Mus musculus: one gene and its partners. The main gene of each other region encodes a partner of the protein of the gene in region 3 in a complex. Links are inferred from orthologs where the notes say so. Each region holds a gene or a part of one and is shown on either strand. Other genes may lie near its edges.

Region 1 (5,674 bases), on a different chromosome or scaffold from region 3:
ATGAGTGTTGGAGCAAGTTCTCTCTACCTTTGAGTTATACCTAGTCCGAGTCTTCTCTTTTTCTCCTTCCCTCCTTCCCTCTCTGTCTTTCTGGTTTGTTGGAGTTTCGTTGTTGTTTGGTGTGGAGATATAATTTCAAACTGTAGCCTTGACTGGCCTGGAGCTTGCTATGTAGATAGACCAAGTTGGTCTCAAGTACTCTGCCAAGCTCAGGTATGTACCACCCATGCCCACCCTCCTCTTATTTCTTCACTTCTTCAGTCTTTGGAGTAGCCGGGATTATGGATGTATGCTGTCACACCTGGCTTGAGCCACCATCTCCACCATCTTATTCTTCCTCCTCCTCCCCTCCCTCCTCCTCCCCTCCCTCCTCCTCCTCCTCCTTCTTCATGTAGTAAACTGAGAATTATCACTATTTTGGGGAACTAAGACACAGATGTGAGGAAGACAGAAGCCATCTGGAGGCCCTAGTGTAAGGATGGGCACTTCTCTCACACACACACACACCTCCCCCACCATGTCCCGAAATCTTCCTTCCTTCCTTTCTTTTTTTAAAAATTAATTTCGTGTGCGTGTTGGCCCATGTGGTTCTATGCATGCAACAGTGTGCATGTACAGCTCAGAGAACAACTTATAAGACTTGGTTCAATTTCAGCCAATCAGACTTGGCCAAAAGTACCTTTCTCCTCTGTGCCATCTTTGTCTGTATATTTCTTGAGACAGAGCCTCACATAATCCACGATGGCCTCAAACACATTATGTAGCTGAGGCTGCCCCTGTACTCCTGATCTTCTTGCCTTAGCTCCCCTAAATGCTAGGACGACAAGCAGAGTCATCACATCCAGCTATGTCCTGTCCCCTTCGGACTGAGATTGTTACAGCTGTGGTGAATGTCTGCCCTGGTCCAGGGGTAACCAAGACAGAAGAGAACATTGCCCCAAGGGAAGGTGGCTCTGCACTAGAAACTGGTGCCAGGAAAGACAGACGTGATCCCCTAGGCGTCAGACCAAGTCTGCCCTCTCTAAGACCTTCCTTCTTTTCTAGGAAGAGGAAGCAGCTGCTATCTTTCCTAGAATGGGAGGGCTTCCTAACCTGCCCTTGGGGCCATCTTTACTTTCTGTCTCAGCTTCTCTAGGACCAGATTGCTCCATGAGAGAGGGGAACTGGCGGAACTCCTAACTCCATATGCCCATCAGGTCGTCATTTCTCTTAGAGGCTGTGACTAGGGAAAGAGGTGAAAGATTGGGGGATGGTAGAGAAGCTGGACTTGAGGGAAGTCTTGGGATTGGTTAGTGGGCTGACACTCCGTTTAAGGGTTTGCTTTAATTTGGTTCTTTGGAAACAGTTTTGCCAGTTTAGCTCAGGCGTGTCTTGAACTCACTATGTAGCCCTGGCCAGCCCCAAACTCAAAATCCTCCTGTCTCAGCACCCTGAATATTGGGATTTACAAGTACCACCATGCCCCGATGCTATGCCAAGTAGAGCTGGGTGTGGTGGTGCACGCCTTCAGTTCTCAGGTGTGTACTGAGGAGGCAGAGGCGGGAGGATCTCTGAGTTCGAAATAACCCAGTCTACAGAGCAAATTCCAGGATGGTCAGGGCTATACAGAGAAGTCCCGTCTTGAGAAAGGAAGGAAGAAAGAAGGAAGGAAGAAAGGAAGGAAGGAAGGAAGGAAGGAAGGAAGGAAGGAAGGAAGGAAGGAAGGAGGCTATGGGCTCCTCATGTTACTCAGAAGAAGAGCAACTGGCAAGCATGTGGGGTCGGAGCACCAGCACCCCAAAAGAAAAGTATAGTTTCTAGCAAAGGAAATGGTTATTCTGTTCTGGAGGCAGGATCTCCAGTATTCCACGCTGGCCCTGACCTTGCTAAGTAGCCATAGATGATCTTAAATCTCTGTTCCTTCTCTCTCTCTACCTGCCAGCTGCTGGGACTGAAAGTGTGGGACAACACACTCAAAAGCAGGATCAAACCAGGGCTTCATGCACACAAGGCAAACACTCTACCCAGCTAAGCACTGTCTCCAGCCCTGCAAAGGAAAAGGTTATCAGAACACCTTGCAGTCTGGAGGTTGGCACCCCAGGCAACTGGAGTCTGAATGCTTGGCTCACAGGATCCTTCCTCCACTACTCCAGCTAGTTCAGTGCAGTGACCTTGGGCATGTTACCTAACTTTTATATTCACTTCCTCATATATACAAAGAAAACAATAGTAACCCCTTCCGCTCCCCGACATCCTAGACGGACACACACTGCTTAGAGCAGTGAGTCTAATATCCTAAAACGACTCCCAATCCCTGTAGGGTACAATGGTGTAATTTTCAATAAGGTTACTACAGTACGCCCTAACTTCACCGACAACTTTCTTACAGGCAAGCCTGTGCCAAAGACTTCTACATTTAGCTTCTTGGGCAATCTGTGGCTAAGGATGGGAGACTGAATTTATCAAGAGAAAGGTAATCATGAAACATTTAATGATTGGTCACATTATGTCTCCAACTGGCAGGCATTAGTGAGAAACTATAAGAGAAAATGGCAAAAGTCAGGGTTTATGTGTGACAGTGGCATATCATGGGAACCAGGAGTATGATATCCACAAAATGGACCTCAGGGCTGCTGGTGATGAAAAAAAAATGGTAATTGGGTGGGACTGGAGATTTTTTAGCAGCTAAGAACACTAACTGACTGACTGCCTGCTCTTCCAGAGGACCCAGGTTCAAGTCCCAGCACCTACATGGCAGCTCACACCCCTCAGTCCATTTCCACACTCTAAGAGGGAAGTATGCATGTGGTCCATGCATGCTGGCAAAACACCCATCACATACAAATATTTTTCTTTAAGTGGTGAAGTGTGTGTGTGTGTGTGGTGGGGGGTGGTATCGTGTTGATTTATTGGTTAACAGCACTTACTATTCCTGTAGAGGACCCAGATCTGGATCCCAGCACCCATTTGGTGCTACATAACTGCCTGTAACTCCAGTTCCAAGGGATCCAGTTCCCTCTTCTGGCTTCCAAAAGTACCAGGCATGCATGTGGTATACATACACACAAATCTTTCATCAACAACACAATGGTGGTGGGTCCAGGTAGCAAGCTGGGGTTCCATCATTCCAGAGGCCAACTGCAAGATAGGGAGTTGGCCTCCAGAGGACATAAGGAGGGCACCTTCCTTTCAAATCATAAGTTGGGAATGAGGGTGCACATTGGAAGTCATCTCTCAGGAAGTAGGGGTAGTTCGAGACCACCCTGGTCTACAGAACAAGTGTCTATCTCAAAAGAGGAGCGGAGGCGGGGAGGAGGTTGAGAGAGGAAAGAAGAGAAAAAAAGAAGAGGGGAGAGGAGAAGGAAGGGGAAGGGAAAGAAGAAGGGGAGGAGGAAGAGAGGGAAAGGGAGGAGGGGAAAAGAGGAAGGCAACACAGTAATAGGATCAAAGCGCAACTCACGTTGGTAAAGCTTTGAATGGCCTTAGTGAACTCCCCGCACAGATAAAGCCTCTCCCCCTCTGCCATGTAAGAGGGAAAAGTGCTTCTTAAGATATCACCGTCCGACATGGTCACCCTACTTTTGGAAATTCTGAAGCAGATTCAGAAAGGAAAAGAGGCTGGAGAATCGCCGGCTTGTTTTGGGACAGCCCGGTCTCTTAGCAACCTAGAGAGATAGTCTAACTTCCGGTCCCTCCCCTCCCCTCCCCTGGCGGTGTTAGGCCTCCGGGTGAGCCCGCCCAGCGTGCTCATGCGCCTGTGTCGCCACGCTGCGCACACCGGTCAGACAAGTGCTGAGCGCGTGGCCGGCGGCTGCAGGACGCTGGCGCTCCAGAGTGATCGCTGTTTGCTTGTAGGTTGCTTCTCCCCTCCAGTTGCCACGTGGAAAGCCTCGCAGACAAAGCAAGCCAAGAAAATGAGAATTGGAGGCAAAATTCCAAGTAGGATTAAGGCTTAAGCACTCCAGGTCCCATTAGGAAGGAGAGAGAATTTTGGAACCGGAGTCAGAGGGCTTGGGCAGCCTTCTCTCTTGTCACTTCTTAGCTGCGTGATCCTTGACCAAGCACATTAGGGAACTGAAAAGTACGCGTTCTACCTGCCAAATGAACAGGAAAATAATAGAGCCCTCAGGGACGTGAGGATTTGCATGAGAATGCAATGGAAAGTGTGATGGGTTTAGCTTTCAATGTCACATAGTTATGGAACACTTGCTAATAGCAAGTCTAAACTAAGGTCTAGCCTGACATAATTCTGCAGCCATTCAGGAGTAATGGCTGTGGGGATAACTCAGTTGGTAAAGCGCATGCTAAGCATGCAGCTCTCTGTTTCAGTTCCCCCAACCCTGGTACAGCCCAGTGTGATGGCACCATCTTGTATTAGCCAGCCCTGGAGAGACAGAAAGACATGCATTCCTGAAGTGTCCCCTGGCATCTACATTCACATGTGCACAAGCACACACATGTTCACACACACACACACACACACACACACCACACAGACACAGCAGTACCTCTAAGTACCCATAATATCTTAGATAGCTAGCTCAGTTAACTGCCTCAACTATATTGGTTTTTTAAAACAGTCTTGGAGTTATACATGATTTTGAGCCACCACTTGGGTGCTAGGAGTTAAACCTGGGTCTTCTGCAAGAGCACCAGTGCTCTTAATCCCTGAGCCATCTCTCCAGCCCAGAATCTTGTCTTAAACTGTCTTTCCAGAATTCAGCTGAGCCAGGCTTGGTGGCCTGGGTCTTTAATTTTCTTACTCCAGAGACAGAGGTAGGAGGTTGGTTGTGAGATACAGGCTTTCTGGTCTCCATAACAAGTTCCAGGCCAGCCCTGGCTACACAGCGAGTTTCAAACACAAAAACAGAAACAGGATCCAGCTTAATGGGCATGTATTAGGAACAGAATCCAGCACACAGTAGGAGCAAAGCAAACCGTTTTCAGTCTCTAAAAAAGATGTCCTTACTGGCAAATGTATAAACACAAATGAGCACAACATCTGTAATTCTAGCACTTGAGAGACTGAAGCAGGATTGCCACAAGTTCAAGGCAGCCTCAGTTACATAGTGAGGTGAAGGCCAGCCCAAGTAACAGGGGAGTCTCTGTCTCAAGCCACCATAACTGATTACTTGGGAAAATGTGGTAAAGTCAGAGACTTTCATTAGTGCCAATACCCTTGTTGGTTGTTGATGTTGTTGTTCTTTTGTTTTGTTTTGTTTTGTTTTTCGAGACAGGGTTTCTCTGTGTAGCCCTGGCTGTCCTGGAACTCACTCTGTAGACCAGGCTGATCTCCAACTCAGAAATCTGCCTGCCTCTGTCTCCCAAGTGCTGGGATTAAAGACAAATGCCACCAATGCCCGACTATTGTAGTTATTTTTTAAGATTTATTTATTTTATGTATTTTAAGTACACTATAGCTGTCTTCAGACACACCAGAAGAGGGCATCAGATCTCATTACAGATGGTTGTGAGCCACCATGTGGTTGCTGGGATTTGAACTCAGGACCTTCGGAAGAGCAGTCAGTGCTCTTATCTGCTGAGCCATCTCTCCAGCCCTGTTGTAGTTTTTAAAAGTTTTTCAAGATTACCATTGGGGGAAATGACAAAGGAATACCTAAGCCAGGTATGGTTATGGTGGTGTACACAGACAGTCCCAGGACAGAGAAAGAGGGTAGCCTGGAGCTCAAGGATA
Region 2 (5,760 bases), on a different chromosome or scaffold from region 3:
AATAAAAGTAATAGGAAGAACAATTACTTTTCCTTAGTATCTCTTAATATCAGTGGGCTCAGTTCCCCAATAAAAAGACATAGAATAAAAGACTGGATACATAAACAAGACTCAACATTTTGCTGCATTCAGGAAACATACCTCAGGGACAAAGACAGATACTACCTCAGAGTAAAAGGCTGGAAAACAATTTTCCAAGCAAATGGTCTGAAGAAACAAGCTGGAGTAGCCACTCTAATATCAAATAAAATCGACTTTCAATCTAAACTTATCAAAAAAGATAAGGAGTTACAATTCATACTCATCAAAGGTAAAATCTACCAAGATGAACTCTCAATTCTGAACATATATGCTCCAAATGCAAGGGCACCCACATTTATAAAAGAAACTTTGCTAAAGCCTAAAGCACACATTGCACCTCACACAATAACAGTGGGATATTTCAATGCACCAGTCTCATCAATGGACAGATCATGGAAACAGAAACTAAACAGAGACACTGTGAATGTAACAGAAGTTATGAAACAAATATCTATAGAGCATTTTATCCTAAAACTAAAGAGTACACCTTCTTCTCAGCACTTCATGGTACCTTCTCCAAAACTGACCACATAATCAGTCACAAAATAGGCCTCAACAGATACAAGAAGATTGACATAATCCCATGCATCCTATTAGATCATCACAAACTCAGGCTGGTCTTCAATAACAACAAAAAGAATAGATAGAAAGCCCACAATACATGTGGAGGCTGAAAAACACTCTACTCAATGGTAACTCGGTCAAGGAAGAAATAAAGAAAGAAATTGAAGACTTTTTAGATTTTAATGAAAATGAAGCCACAACATACCCAAACATATGGGACACAATGAAAGCAGTGCTAAGAAGAAAACTCATAGCTCTGAGTGCCTCCAAAAAGAAACTGGAGAGAGCAAACACTAGCAGCTTGAAAGCACAAATGAAAGCTGTAGAACAAAAAAGAAGCAAATACACCCAGAGGAGTAGAAGGCAGTGAATAATCAAACTCAGGGCTGAAATCAACCAAGTAGAAATAAAAAGAACTATGCAAAGAATCAACAAAACTAGAAGCTGATTCTTTGAGAAAGTCAACAAGATAGATAAACCCTTAGCCAGACTAAGTAGAGGGCATTTTCCTGGTCATGTCTAGGAATGCTATCTAGTAGCATCCTGGTTTCCTGACTCTTAAAATCTTTCTTCTCCCTCTTCTTTGATTTTTTTCTGAGTCTTAGAAATAAGACTCAGAGATTGATAGATGTGTTGTACATCTATCAATTGGGCTTAGGTACCTCATGGTCCCTTATTCTTTGTATCATGACACATTGTAGATCTTTGAAATAGTCACTAACTGTTGAAAAAAGAGACTTACTTGATGCAGAGTGAGAACTACTTATTTGTGGCTACAAGAGTAATTATTTAGAATATAGTTAGAAATTATACTGGTTTAGGAAAATGGCAATTGTAGGTTCTAGTCTAAGGTTCATGATCCTTCCAGCCATGGTTAGTTGGCTAGGTTTATAGTACCAGACATGAGGCCTCTCCTACTATGTCCAATTAAACAGCTGGTGGTTACTTGAAAGATAAAAGTGCCACCACTGTGGATCGTGTGCCTGTCCAGTCATTTTCCTGGCTCATGGGCCTTTCTCTGGCTAGGTCCACTGATTGGTTGCTCCTCTCCCTTGGCCGCTTGCACAACACTTTAAGATATAAGAGCTAGGCCTCAGGGAGGTTTCCAGGCCAGCTCCAGCTCAATTTCTAGGAATTCTGTCTCTTGAGTGTATGACATCTTCAGCAATAGGATCTCACTTTCAAGCTCTGGAAGACAAAGGGAACAGCTGAGGCCCATATTGTCTTGGGAATCTCTTGTATTCCCCTAGTCAATAACTCAACTGGAGGTTTCTCAAGCCTGGCATTGAATTTTGTATTAGACGGTGTATGGCTCTTGGAAATAGGGAAAACACCCTTACTTCATTATTTTTGAGTTGTTGTCACTGTTAGTGAAGAATTGTGTACTTATGAAGCAGACTTAATCAAATAAACATTGTGTGTGCCAGTTATTAATGTTGTGAGTATTCATTGGAAATGTTTTTACTCATTTTCAAAATAGCATATATTCTCCCAGAAATGGAAGCATTTCAGGAAAACCACAAAAGAACACAATTTCTTATCAAATTTATAAACACCTTAAATGACTGCCATTTTCTGAGAATTTTAAGATGCTCACAGTATAATAGTATATCATAGTTTTCAGTTGGGGCACTACCCCCGTGACATCAATTCTCACACATTGTATCAGATACAAATGATATAAAGGTGCTAGGCCAGAAACCTCCAGAGCTACATTAGAAGTTCACATCCACACCTTCACACAATGGAGCTGGTTTGAAGATGTGACCTCTCCATTTTCATTGTGACCAGTATCTCTTCGACCATCACATAGCTTCTAAATTCACACATCAAACAATACTGCCCTCATCTCAATGATCCACACACTGCTTCTCAGCTCAAGAACAGCTGTTTTTCTGTCTGAGTACAATGCTCTCATGTGTGGTCACCTGCAAGATCTCCTTTACCTATGGACCTGATTGGGAATTGGAAATTGAGCATCTAAAACTGGGAACAGATTCTTTACCGTCTTAGATTTGCTGAGCAATATACTTTTCAATGAAATGCCTCTACGGAAGACAGTGTCTGTACCACCGCAAGTCTCTTTCTTAAAAGTGTTCAGGATGCATGCACGACTGTTTTCTTTATGGATCTCTTATCACACTTCCAGAGCTTAGACCTCAGAGCGTTTTGTTTTCTTTTGTTGTTTTTGTTTTTTCCTCTCTAGAAAGAGCCAGAAAGTAAGTAAAGGCTCTGCTGCTTTCTTGATTCTGGTGTTTTTCTGGGGCATCCTTTTCAACCTGTCTAAAGCTGAAGCCACATGCCTCCCAGATACACACCATATTGCTTCTCTAACTTAAAAGCAAATAAAGAGATCTTTGAATTTAGTGAATGTCTATGAGGGAGCTCGGGCAGCTTGGAACTTGTCCCAGTTATAAAAGGGTAGGATGGATGCCTCCCAAGGAGTTGGAACTCCACAAAGGGATTCTCTTTCCGATCCTCTTGAGGAGGAGCGTGGAGGGGCCATTACTGGTGGAAGCAGGAAGTAGAGACTGGGTAGAAAGAGATCTGGCCCAGAAGTCATAGGAACTCTTGCATTCAGTTCTTACTTACAGTGCTTGCAATTTTTAGTTAAGGTGTCCGTCAACTTCTGCAGCTTCTTTCTGTTCATGATGGGTGTTAATAATATTAGATCTTAGAGTGTCATCTGGAGCAGAGTGCCAGGACGCTCCGGCTCCGGAGCCCCAGGCTGAGGGAGCTTGGTGCAGCCAGCTTGGCTCTGCGCATTTGCGCATTTGCGCATTTGCGGCCCTAACAGACAGTGTGGCCATGGCAACGCCTCAGGTGAAAGCGGCCTCTGTACATAGAGCAGCCATGGCAACGGCTGGGTGGGACACTGATTGGCTCCTGTCAGGGGGCCTCTTGGTCAGCTCAGTAAAGCCTGCCAGTCCTGACTGCCCAGCACAGACACTGTGCCTGCATTTAGTCCCAGTTGCAGCGTTTCAGCCTGACACTTTGCAGACTGTATTGTTTGCCATGTTGGAAATTTCTATTTTCACTTGTCACACCATCATTTCTGTTCACAGCCCCTCAAGACTACATCATAATCAGAAGAGTAAGGTGTGCAAGCTGGATAGATGTTTTGTATGATGAGCACAAGAGCGATTCAGGTTTTCAAGATCTGTGGGGATGCTGGAGGGAAATAGGTGTGTAATTAAAGCAATTATCAGAAGGGAATCTGAACAATTACGGTTTGAACTGTGTTACTCAGAAAGTAGATCTCTCTGTGTCTCTGTCTCTCTCTGTCTCTCTCTCTGTCTCTCCCCCCTCCTTCTTTGGAGTGGGAGTTTTCAGTCAAATTTGCAAAAGGCCAATGTCATATTTTAAGTTCGTTAATTAAAGATACATACTCTTTTTGTTGTTTTGTATAAAATAGAGTTTATTTAGGGCATAAGGAGGGGAGTTGCGAGGGTTGTAGAGGCAGAGAAAGGCAGAGAGAGAGAGAGAGAGAGAGAGAGAGAGAGAGAGAGAGAGAGAGAAGAGAGGAAGGAGGAGGAGAAGGAAGAGGAGGAGGGGAGGAGGAGGAGGAGGAAGAGGAGAAAGAGAGGAGTAGAGATTGGCCATGAGCACATGGAGAGAGAGGGGGAAGGGAATGGGGAGAAAGAGGGTAAGGGACAAGAGGACAGAGCAGAAGCAAGAAGGCAAGAGAGAGAAAGGAGGGGGCAAGCAGCCCCTTTTATAGTGAGTCAGGCACACCTGGCTGTTGCCAGGTAACTATGGGGCGGAGCCTAGATAAAATGCTAACAGTAACAACTTTCCAAACTACATAGACTGACATAACAGCCCAGAAGTTGCCATGGAGACAAATTGGAGAATTTTTCCATGATGCGGAATCCTTCAAGTGGTCAGTTTGCAGCCACACCTAGTTCTTCTATTGAAAACCCTTCCCTAGTCTCTTGAAATCACTCAAATTTATAATTGTCTAATTTTATAATTTTGAAATGGTAATAAGACATCAGCCACACAGAATATAACCTACTGAGAGTCCTTTCCATCAGTATAATTTTCTGCAAATCCATCCAGGAAATTTTGCCTTTTTATTGCTGAATAGTATTCCATGATTTATATGTGCCATATTCTGTTTATACACCCATGCACTGAAGACCTTCAGCCTTCAGTTTTAAGCTCTTAACAGGGAAGATACTATAGACCATTTCTCATATGAATGAGAGTTAAGTTCTCTGGAATGAGCACCTAGGATTGCTAGTACATATGGCAGCTGTATGATTGCAATTTAGAAATTGTGAGATTGCTTTCCAGAGAGTCTGAACATTGTGAGGCCACAGCCTAGTGTCTCCTCATCGCTGTCTGTACTTGGTGCCCTCACTGTTTTTGTTTGTTCAGCTTTTAAAGCAAACACAACCATTCTAATGGGTATGTGTTGACATCATGAGTTTTAACTTGCATCCTTAGCTGATCAAGTAGGGCTGTCTTCACCGTTATGGCATCTTCCATGTATTCTGTCTGCTCAAATATTCACTCACATCTTGGGCAAGATTGGATTTTTTTTTAAATCTATATGGTTTTGCATTTTAAGTCCATAAATTAAATTCATGATGAATTTTGAGTTGGCTATTGCAGAGGTAGGAGATTTAAGTCAGGGATCATTTGTTGCCTGATTATATCCAGAACGTCCACAGCTGTTGCTGACAATTCCATTGAGCTTCTTCTGAATGGATTCCTTCCACTAATTGTTACATTTTAGTTACGGTGTTTGTCACCTCACAGTTATTCACTCAGTCCTTTCTATTTCTTTGGGGAAAGGGGAGGAAAGGGTACATTTGTAGTCTATCATTGAAGAAAGTCAGGACAGGAACTCAAGCAGGGCAGGAACCTGGAGGCAGGAGCTTGTGCAGAAGTCATGGATGGGTATTGCTTACTGGCTAATTCCTCATGGTTTGCTCAGACTGCATTCTTTCTTTTTCCTGTTTCTTTGTCGAGACTGTTCAGAGGGTTTCATCTGACATGGTGGAGCCCTTGTGGCTGATGCAGCAGTGGGAACTTTGGGTTGCTACTCTCCAGCCTTCAAAACAGTTGAGAACTGAGTGTTCAAATCACAAGCCAGAGGGGGCATTT
Region 3 (4,964 bases):
GCTGACTCCAGCGTCCCCGTAGCCTCCCCTCAGCCACCGAAGCCTCACCTCACCAGCGTAGCATCCCCCGAGTACTTGAGGTTCTCCAGCTCCCTCTGGAGCCGCTGCTTCTCCTCCTTCAACTTCGCCAACGCCAGTTCATTGTCCTTCTTGAGATTCTCCAACTGTGTGAAGGTCTCATCCTGGGCCAGGAACCTGCGCACTACCGCCTGCGGACCACACATCCCTGGTCAGAGCCTGGAACAAGGGAGGCCCCGAGGACACTATGGTCCTCTCTCTGTCACACAACAATGTATGAGGATAGTGTGGGTCAGTCTCCCGACTACTCCAAGGCTGCACTTTGCCCCATGCCCTTTCCCACCTATATTTGAGTCAGCTAAAATCTGCATGCGGAAGGCAGCACAGCAGTGAATATTCTCTATTCAAAAATGACTGTGCCAGCAAGTTCAGATCGGGCAAAGACATTGTGTCTCTAGAGCTCCATCAGCCCTCCCAGCCGTTTGCATATGCATGTGCCAAGGTGCACATGTGGATTTCAGAAAGCGCTCACTTTCCAGCTTGGGGCCCAGGGATGGCACTCAGGTTGCCAGGCTTGGGCAATCATGTTTACCCATCAAGCCATCTCACCGGCTCTAGACCCATTTCTGCAAAGGGACCTTGGACAGCTGATCACAAAGGTCAGAGTCCTGGCCCTCCTGGTGATTAACCCCTTTGAGGAGCAGCAGAGAACCTAAACTGGAGAAACTGACTGGGGTGGGTTGGGGGCAGGGGGTGTGTGCTGTTCTGAAGCAGGACAGGCACCAGAGACACACAAGGTCTTGGAAAGCAAAGCCGCTCTTACCAAAAGTAGGGCACAGAACAGGCCCTGATTCCACCATGGTCTGAGAAACAGAACCTGACAAATAAAACACCCAGGACTGACATACCAAAGAAGTCAGCTCAGGGGAGGAGTGGAAGTAAGCGAGGGCTAATGTGGACAGCTCTACGGGAGCTGGAGCTGGAACAGACAGGAGAGGACACCTTTAAGCAGAGAGGAGCCTTTGCTTGCCTGGTGCAAGCCCGAGGCACTCACATGCGATTCAGCTACTCCAGTGGCATCCTTGACCTTGCCAAACATCACTTCCATCTGGTACATGCTCCAGCGCTGCCTCAGCTCCTCCTCCCTGTGGCGCTGGTGGTCCTGTATTGTATCTTCTGACTGCAGCAATACGTGGTCTCGGTGGGTCTGCTTTGAGGGTGGGGGACAGTCAAGGGCACCGTCAAAATCAGCTCTAGATAAGGCCTTGGGGCAGAGGCCAGGAGAGGAGCTCGCTTAGCTTAGATGGTGGGGAACAGGACAAAGGCTTGGGACTAGATACAGGCGTCCAGGTAGGAGTCAGATAGGTGGTTTCAGAACCAGGGTAAGAAGGCAGGATGGTAGAAGGGAGTAGTCTCCGGAGGGGATGGGCTAGACCCCCCACTCAGATGTAGAACAAAAGGGCCTAAATTAAATGGGAAGGATGAGTATAGGGTCAGATAGTCCAGGGCAGATCTGGAGGCCACGGCCTATCCCAGGAAAGAGGCTGAGGTGAGATTGTGAGAGGAATCATTGGGTCAAATGGGGGCAGAGTAAGGGAGGGGTTGGGGTTAGGACAACTGGCATGGTTGGGAAGTCTCTAGGTCAGGATGTGTGTACCAGGTGAGGGCTGGGACCCTCTGGTTTGAGCTGGCAAAGCCCTACACCCTTAGATGTGCACACCTTGCGCTCCATACGCTCTGTCTGAAGTTTCTTCTCTTCTGCCCGCTTCTTGCAGTCAGTTATGTAATGCTCGCGCTTCTTGCGATCTCTGATCGCAGACTCCTCCAGATACTGCAGCTGGTTCTAGAGGACAGACAGGGCACCTGATATCTATCCAGGCTATAAGAGGAGCAGCGGGCACAACAGCAATGTGATTGCCAGGAAAGACTTAAAGAGAATTAGATTCTGACTAGGGTCCCTTGAGCCCTTGGTATTCCAGAACTATTTTCTCTTAATTGAAACACTCCCCAGTAGAGGAAGGAGGAGGCTTAAGGCTCAGGAAGTTCATGAAACTTACAATGCTCAAGAAACAAGATTCACGTACTGGGCAGTGGTGGTACACGCCTTTAATCCCAGCACTTGGGAGGCAGAGGCAGGCAGATTTCTGAGTTCGAGGCCGCTGAGTTTCTTCTCTGAAGAAACTTCAGAGTGAGTTCCAGGACAGCCAGGGCTATACAGAGAAACCCTGTCTCGAAACCACCCCCCGCCAAAAGAAAGAAGAAACAAGATTCATAAGGCTCCTCCCCATGTTACAATGAATGGGCGTGGTGGTGTGAATAGGTTTGGCCCCCACAGGCTCATGTGTTTGACTGCTTGGCACTGTTATGAGGTGTGGTTTTGTTGGAATAGGTGTGGCCTTGTTGGATCAAGTGTGTCACTGTGGGGTGGGCTTTGACACCCTCCTTCTAGCTGCCTGAGGATGCCAGTCTTCTCCTGGTTGCCATCAGGACAAGATGTAGAAATCTCAGCTTTTCTTCCAGCACCGTGCCAGCCTGGATGCTGCCATGCTCCTGCCTTGATGATAATGGCCTGAACCTCTGCACCTTTAGGCCAGCCCTGATTAAGTGTCCTTCAGAAGAGTTGCCTTGGTCATGGTGTCGGTTCACAGCAATGGAAACCCTAAGTAAGACTAAGGTGACACTGATGAACGGAACCCTAGAGATGCATGTGGCTTTCATGCCAGTAGTGCCTCAGTCATGTTGTGCGAGGAAGCCAACAAACCTAGTGCTAGCCAAGTTGGTCTTTGTGGAGTGGTCCCTGGCTGCCCCGGCCTGGAACTCACTGAGCTCCTGCCTTGGCCTCCAAACACTGAGATTAAAAGCATGCATCTACCCACCTGTCGGTGGGCAGTGTTTTATGTGGGACTAGGAAATACCACCTTCCCAGGAAAAGTCATATAAAACCATGGCGTCTGGGAAGGATCCCCCCCCACCGTCCGGGGAGGCAGGCTAGTACCTTGGCAATGTCCCGGGCATTTATAGCCTCTTGATTCACTACTTTCAGCTCTTGAACCTCATGTTTGGTGTTCATCACCTCAGCCTCCATGGAATCTAGCCGGCTCTCCAAGTTGAGACTCTCCTCCTGGCATGTGGAGAGAGGCAAGGCTTGTGACTGCTGTCCCTGGTCAGGTCCACCCCGTCACCTACCTCTCTCTACAAAGTGTTCCCACCTGGAGGTAAGACTTGAGCTGCAGGTACACATTAGTGATGTGCTCTGCCTCCTCTGCCTTCATCCGGGCCTTCTCCAGCCGATTCTCCAGGTTGCGCATGGTCTAGGGGATAGCAGGGTTAAGTTCCTCCTGCCACCCCTCGTGCCTCCCCAAGACCCCCCGCAGACCTCAGTAGCCCCACCTTGGCAGCCTCCATGTTGCTGTCTTGGACCTCTGCCATCTCCAGCTGGCGCAGGCTGTGCTGCAGCCTCAGGTCCTCCAGCCGTTTCTGCCGCAGTATTACCTGGTGTCGCAAGGCATTCAGCTGGTTCATCTTCTCCCTCAACTGGTGCTCCAGGTGCTCCAGGGCCTGCTGCAGGGGATGAGGGAGAGCAGATTCTCAGCTCACTCGGGATCCCAAGTCCATGAGTAGCTGTTTTCTTGGAAGCCCTTGTCTCTCCGGACTCCTACCTGACTTCCAGAACCCTTGGCATCCAATGCTTTTCTTTTTTCTAACGGAGTGAGTGAGTGAGCGTGTGTGTGTGTGTGTGTGTGTGTGTGTGTGTGTGTGTGTGCATGCCCATAGGAAAATTTGAGCCTTGCGCAGTTGGGCAGAAGCTATACCTGTGAGCTAGTCCCATTTCTCTTTTACTTTTTATTTTTAAAAGACATGGTCTTATGTAGTCTAGTCTAGGCTGGCTTTGAACTCTGTATGCAGCAAGAGATGAACTTCTGATTTTTCTACATCCACCTCCTGGGTGTTGGGATCATATTAGTTTTGTTTGTTTTGTTTTTTGTTTTTCAAGACAGGGTTTTTCTGTGTAGCCCTGGCTGTCCTGGAACTCACTCTTTAGACCAGGCTAGGCTCAAGCTCACAGAGATCTGCCTCCAGAGTGCTGAGATTAAGGGCAAATGCCACCATGCCTGACTTTAAATTATTTTTGTGTGTGTATGTGTGTGTGTGTGTGTGTGTGTGTATGTGTGTGTGTTCTGTCTGCATATATACCTTTATGCCAGAAGAGGGCATCAAATTCCACTAAAGATGGTTCTGAGCCACCATGTGGTTGCTGGGAATTGAACTCAGGAGTTCTGGAAGAATAGCCAGTGTTCTTACCCACTGAACCGTCTCTCTAGCTCCCAGACTCAGATTTTAGGTTCTGAAAATAGGACTCAGGTTCTCACCCTTGCACAGCAAACACAAAGTCACTGACTGAGCCCCTCCCCAGGTTCCTAGTTCAACTCCCATAACATTACTTATATTTTTACTTCATTTTTAATTTTATGTGTAATGGTGTTTTGTCTGCCTGTGTATCTGTGCCAGGATGCCAGAAGAGGGCATTGGATTCCCTGCAGCTGGAGTTACGGACAGTTGTAAGCAGCCACGTGGGTGCTGGCACTGAAACCCAGGTCCTCTGTGCTCCACACCACTGAGCCATTGCTCCAGCTCTGGGGTTTTTGTTTGTTCTGTTTTTTAAGGATCTTTTTTCTTTTTTGTTTTCTTTTCCTTTCCCTTTCTTCTCTCTCTCTCCCTCTCCCTCTCCCTCTCCCTCCCCCTCCCCCTCCCCCTCCCCCCTCCCCCTCCCCCTCTCCCTCTCCCTCTCTCTCTCATAAAGATTAGCTGATGCAGTACTGGAATTGGCATGTGGCCACAGGGTGAGTCTCACTGCACAAGAGGTGGGTTCCTGGCATCACCTATACTCAGGCTGCCAAACTCCACTGCAGTGCCAGGACCTCATCTGGCCACACCAACTGGTAACC
Region 4 (4,964 bases), on a different chromosome or scaffold from region 3:
CACAGTCCAGGCGCATTCGCCATGGTGGACAGCCGTTGCTCTATCCAGACACTTGAGCAGCAGCTCTCTCCTTTTCCAAAGCTCCAGCAGACCTCGAATTTCCTCTTTGCCTCTGGTGTCCTGAATGTTCCACAGACAGGGTGAGAAGCGTGTCTCCATCCTTGGTGTGTCTCTATCCTTGTCCAGAGCACACATGTTAGTTCTTCACTCTTTCTGCTGGCTGTTCTGTGATTTCTCTCTCTTCTTGATCTTTTTTCTTGTACACTTATTTATTTTGTGTGTATGTGTCTGCATACATGCACGCATGCATGCTCACGTCATGCATGTGGAGGTCAGGATAACCTGCAGAGGTCAGCATTCTCCTGCCACCCCGTGGGATCTGCCACGTTGTCATGTCTGGTGGCAAACTCCTTTACCCGCTAAGCTATCTCCTTAGCCAAAGTCTGATCTCTTACCTTTGCCACCCTCCACCGCTCACCCCTACCACCTAGGTCCAGCTTCTCCACACCTTGGCTGGCTTTTGACCTCTGGCCATTTGTCTAGATGTACTTCTGTCTTTGGTGTCTTGTTTTCAACTTGCTCTCTAGTTCTAACTTCGAGGAAGGGAATCCGATTAGCTAGTAACTCTCTGCGGATGACATATCGGTGAGTTCATTGAGCCACCTGGGGTGAGCTGTCAGGTGGGGCACAGGGACAGGCTGGTTTCTGTTCTGGGAAGGTATGGCTTGACCAGCCCACAGGTTCTTGGGACTGGGCCTTGCTCTGGAGAGGCCATCTATGTTAGAGAATGACTAACTAGCCCTCAGGGGTGGCTCTGGGAGGAACCCCCCAGGGCAGGCAGAGATGAGATCAGGATTAGAATAGCCTAGGGCAGGGGCTCTTTGCCATTGACCCGTCAAAGCATCAGGCCCTTATTCCCAGCCAAGCAGGGCAGGCACATCATTCCTGCCTTCATGGGGTGTGCTTGAGTATGGAAAAGACCCAACTCCCCAGTCTTACTCATTTCTAGCTACAGACCATCCAACCTTCAGTGTCACCCAGGCTGTCCTTTCTGAGTCTGGGAATAATCTCTGGCAGGGCCTGACTACCTCCTTTGGCCCTCTGAGTAAATGATCAGATGATTCCTGGCCTCTGTGTACCCTGTGTGTCCACCAATCTTGTCATAGCTAGTCCTGATCCTGATCTAGGTCTTCCAGCCTAGAACTTTCTCTGCTCTTTGTGAGCATCCTTGGGAAGCCACCTGGCACCGTCCTTTTGTAGGCCCAGGCTGACCCCAGCTCAGTCACCCATCTTTTTTTTTTTTTTTTTTGACTTACATGCCCCTCCTGTCCCAGGGAAGAGGCCAAGACCAAGATGGGCATGCTTCAGGAGCGCGCAGAGAAGGAGCTGGCTCAGAGTGATACGGAGGCACAGATCTTGCTGCGACAGATATCGCATCTGGAGCAGCTGCATCGATTCCTTAAGCTCAAGAACGATGAACGACAACCGGATCCCCGTGTGGTGCAAAAGGCAGAACAGCGAGGTGAGGCCAGTGCTTGCACCGAGCACCTAACTCAGGGCCACTACAGCTATCATCATCCCTAGGCCCTCAGAGAGGGTGAAGCCCCTTAGGAGAAGGTGGGGCAAAGACTAGTAGAGCTGGTGAGCCGGCAGGGCAGAGCCTGTTGGAGAGCGGTGGGGAGTGGGGGCCTTATCCAGGATGCAAACCCTCAACTTCCCCCTGTTACCCATAGACTGGGAAGTGTCAGAAGGACTCCGAAAGACCTCCCAAGAGAAGCTAGTGCTGCGTTATGAGGACACTCTGGGCAAACTGGCCCAGCTGACCGGCGAGAGCGACCCTGACCTTTTGGTGGAGAAATACCTGGAGTGTGAGTGGGCAGAGTGGACGAGAGGAGGCGGGGCTACCCAGCACCACCCAAAGCACGGCACACTTGCCTTGCCCTGGGGATCCTGCCTTGTCTCCAGTTTTCATTCTGTTGCTTGGTGTGCCTCCCTTGCATCTGCCTCTGTTTCTTTCCATATGTCTCAGACTTCCTCTCTCCATATCTGTCCCTTGACCCTCTCTGTCTGTTTCCTTGGGCCTTCCCAAATCTTTTACCAACCCTGTCTTTCTCGGTGTGTTGGTGCCCTTCTGTGGCTGTTCCTGTTTCATCTGTCTCTGTTTTTCTGCCTTTGTTTCTGTCGCCTTGCAACCCTTAGTGATCCTTCTGTTTCTAACTCCATCCCTCTGGACCCCCCCTGCACACCCCCAGTGGAGGAACGCAACTTTGCTGAGTTTAACTTCATCAATGAGCAGAACTCCGAGATACACCACCTTCAGGAGGAGATCAAAGAGGTGAGCAAGGCCCACCCTCCTTACGCCGCCCCACCTCCCAGACTCCCATACCCTCTCCCCAGGCCTAGAGCGGACCCAGCTCCAGCCCCTGTCTCTGCAGATGCAGGAAGCCTTAGTCAGTGAGCATGCCAGTCAGGATAAACAGCGCATGCAGCAAGAGCAGCAGTGCAAAATGTTGCAGCAGGATGTGGACAAGATGTGTTCTGAGTCAGAGCAGCTGGAGGGTCGCTTCCAGGTGCTCCGAGGTCAGCTGGAAAAAATCAAGACTGGTAAGTCCCGCAAGGTTCCCTCTCCCAGCCGGAAGCTCTTCCTTAGGAAGGATGCAGTGGGCTTGTGGGGAGCTGGCCATGAAGGCATTACGCGTTTGCTACTCCGTCCTTCCCTTGTCTTTTGTCAGCCCATCTGGGGTGCACCTGTCCGTCCATCCATCCATCTGTCTGTTCGTGAATGTCATGTTGAGTCATAAGGCTAAGGTACTTTTATATTCACTAGAGAATGCTAATCAGCTCTCCAGAGCAAGTCCACATTTTCTTTTTTTTTTAACTTTTTTTTTTTTTTTTTTAAGATTTATTTATTCATTATATGTCAGTACACTGTAGCTGTCTTCAGACACTCCAGAAGAGGGAGTCAGATCTCATTACGGATGGTTGTGAGCCACCATGTGGTTGCTGGGATTTGAACTCTGGACCTTTGGAAGAGCAGTTGGGTGCTCTTACCCACTGAGCCATCTCACCAGCCCCACATTTTCTTTAAAAAGAACCATTTATTTTATGTATGAGTGCCCTATTTGCATGTACACCTGCATGCCAGAAGAGGGCAGCAGATCCCATTACAGATGGCTGTGAGCCACCAAGTTATTGCTGGGAATTGAACTCAGGACCTCTGGAAGAGCAGCCAGTGCTCTTAATCTCTGAGCTATCTCCCCAGCCCCCAATTTCTCTTTTCTTTTGTTTTCTTTCTCCTTTATCTCTTTCTCTCCCTTGCTTGCTTGCTTCCTTCCTTCCTTTCTTTCTTTTTTCTTTAGTTGTTGGTTTGTTGTTGTTGTTGTTGTTGTTTTGGTTTGTTTTTTTTTTTTTTTTGAGACAGGGTCTTATTATGTAGCGCTGGCTGTCTGAACTCACTCTGTAGACCAGGCTGGCCTCAAACTCACAGGGATTGGTCTGCCTCTGCTTCCCAAGTACTGGGGTTAGAGTTGTGGGTCACAATGGCAATTTCTCCTTTTATGCCTTTGTGTGCACATATGTGTGTCTCAGATGTAGCTGTGCCCACTCCCTAGTGTCTCCCCATCACATTCTGTTATCACTACAGCACTCACTCAATGTGGTTCCCAAGCTGTCAGTCTTTACTAAGATTGTCACCCTATTGTTATCTCTAAGACATTCCTGTTTGGCTTTGTGCTCTGTGTGTGTGTGTGTGTGTGTGTGTGTGTGTACACGAGTGTGCCATGGCACATATGTGGAGGTCAGAGGGCAACTTGTAGTAGTTGGTTCTCTCCTTTCCCCATATCTTGGGATCAAATTCAAGTTGTCAGGCTTGACAGCGAGGATCTCCACCTACTGAGCCGCCTTACCAACACATATTTTATTTACTTAAATAGTTGGGGAGAAAATAGTTGAACATCTTAAAAATTAGATTTATATTTTTTATGTAAGAATGGACTGCCTACATTGTATGTATTACATCATATGCTTGTGTGATGCTTGAAGACGTCAAAAGAGGGGATTGGATCCCCTGGAACTGGAGTTACAGATGGTTGGGAACCACCATGTAAGCGCTGGGAATTGAACCTGGGTCCTCTGCAAGAGCAACAAGTGCTCTTAACTGTCCATCTCTCCAGCCGCCATTTTTTAGTATTGAATTAGATTATTTTTCTTGTTCTGAGGTATAGGGATTGTTTTGATTCTGGAAATACTTTTTTTGTATGGTTGCATACTCTCCAACTTCTTGCATGAACTGAAATTTATCTAACGCTTGATACAACGTACTCAACTCCCTTTTGTAATTAGTTCTGGCTGTCTTTGCTACCTTGTGGGTCCTTCTTTCTTCCACCCTTCCAACCTCATAACACTAGGTAAGTGAGAAAAGGAAAGAGATGCCTGGATAAAGTCAGGGGTCAGAGCGGGGCACTATCGTTAGACTACTTCCTGCTCACTGGGCGTGTTGAATTCCTTGAGGCAGGCTTCATCTTTGCCATTAGGATATCTGCTCTGCTCTTGTTTCTTCTTTGTGCATGACGACTTAACAAATTGTGATCATCGGCAACCAACCCACAACCAAGAACCCACCAACCAACCACAGCCCACCCCACCTCTCAGGGCCCTAGCATGTATAGAGCGTCTGAAAAGACCCCAGCATTCCAAATGTCACAGATCACAGAAACTATCTGCAGCTGGCCAAACCCCAGCTGGCATAGTCAGCTGCTGTGGACAGTCTGAAGCATCCCCAAATCCCATACCTGGGATGAAGACGAAAACATATTCTTATAATATTTCTATGTATTTTAAAGAAACCAAAACTCCAAAATTGTCAGTACAATCAGTGGCTTTGTGGTATAAGAAGTCTTTACCTATTTGAGGTTGCAAAGGTATTTTTTACTAGAATTTTGTTTGGCTTCTGCCTTAGGGTTTTT

The links.
Region 1: Ccdc151 (region 3) and Ttc25 share a complex: the UniProt entries of both Homo sapiens proteins name them as parts of the outer dynein arm-docking complex. The link is inferred for Mus musculus from reciprocal best matches to the Homo sapiens genes ODAD3 and ODAD4.
Region 2: Ccdc151 (region 3) and Efcab1 share a complex: the UniProt entries of both Homo sapiens proteins name them as parts of the outer dynein arm-docking complex. The link is inferred for Mus musculus from reciprocal best matches to the Homo sapiens genes ODAD3 and CLXN.
Region 4: the proteins of Ccdc151 (region 3) and Ccdc114 are in contact, whole or in part, in a cryo-EM structure (PDB 9CPB), measured with the Bos taurus proteins. The link is inferred for Mus musculus from reciprocal best matches to the Homo sapiens genes ODAD3 and ODAD1. Residues at the interface, in NP_001095517.1 of Bos taurus: Gln69, Leu73, Lys76, Ile77, Leu79, Leu80, Asp83, Arg84, Phe87, Tyr88, Thr91, Asn94, Ile95, Asn98, Gln99, Thr101, Ile102, Leu105, Arg106, Glu108, Thr109, Leu112, Gln113, Gln115, Leu116, Leu119, Gly122, Asp123, Val126, Ala129; in XP_024834988.1 of Bos taurus: Leu31, Gln32, Gln34, Cys35, Met38, Glu41, Arg42, Tyr45, Val49, Arg52, Ile53, Gln56, Leu57, Glu59, Ile60, Leu63, Glu64, Val66, Arg67, Leu70, Arg71, Gln73, Ile74, Ala77, Gln78, Asp86, Arg89, Leu90, Ser92, Met93.

What each region holds. Positions count from the first base shown.
Region 1 is NC_000077.6:100,543,674-100,549,347, reverse strand, and holds the start of Ttc25 (tetratricopeptide repeat protein 25), read right to left. Parts: upstream 3,741-5,674; 5' UTR 3,548-3,740; coding exon 3,440-3,547; intron 1-3,439. UniProt on the Homo sapiens protein: Component of the outer dynein arm-docking complex (ODA-DC) that mediates outer dynein arms (ODA) binding onto the doublet microtubule. Plays an essential role for the assembly of ODA-DC and for the docking of ODA in ciliary axoneme.
Region 2 is NC_000082.6:14,904,290-14,910,049, reverse strand, and holds the start of Efcab1 (EF-hand calcium-binding domain-containing protein 1), read right to left. Parts: upstream 3,405-5,760; 5' UTR 3,296-3,404; coding exon 3,238-3,295; intron 1-3,237. UniProt on the Homo sapiens protein: Component of the outer dynein arm-docking complex (ODA-DC) that mediates outer dynein arms (ODA) binding onto the doublet microtubule. Seems to regulate the assembly of both ODAs and their axonemal docking complex onto ciliary microtubules.
Region 3 is NC_000075.6:21,991,800-21,996,763, forward strand, and holds part of Ccdc151 (coiled-coil domain-containing protein 151), read right to left. Parts: intron 3,580-4,964; coding exon 3,409-3,579; intron 3,330-3,408; coding exon 3,228-3,329; intron 3,140-3,227; coding exon 3,014-3,139; intron 1,862-3,013; coding exon 1,739-1,861; intron 1,229-1,738; coding exon of another isoform or gene 1,226-1,228; coding exon 1,073-1,225; intron 210-1,072; coding exon 49-209; intron 1-48. UniProt on the Homo sapiens protein: Component of the outer dynein arm-docking complex (ODA-DC) that mediates outer dynein arms (ODA) binding onto the doublet microtubule. Involved in mediating assembly of both ODAs and their axonemal docking complex onto ciliary microtubules.
Region 4 is NC_000073.6:45,940,326-45,945,289, forward strand, and holds part of Ccdc114 (coiled-coil domain-containing protein 114), read left to right. Parts: intron 1-1,334; coding exon 1,335-1,522; intron 1,523-1,733; coding exon 1,734-1,868; coding exon of another isoform or gene 1,869-2,252; coding exon 2,253-2,335; intron 2,336-2,435; coding exon 2,436-2,604; intron 2,605-4,964. UniProt on the Homo sapiens protein: Component of the outer dynein arm-docking complex (ODA-DC) that mediates outer dynein arms (ODA) binding onto the doublet microtubule. Involved in mediating assembly of both ODAs and their axonemal docking complex onto ciliary microtubules.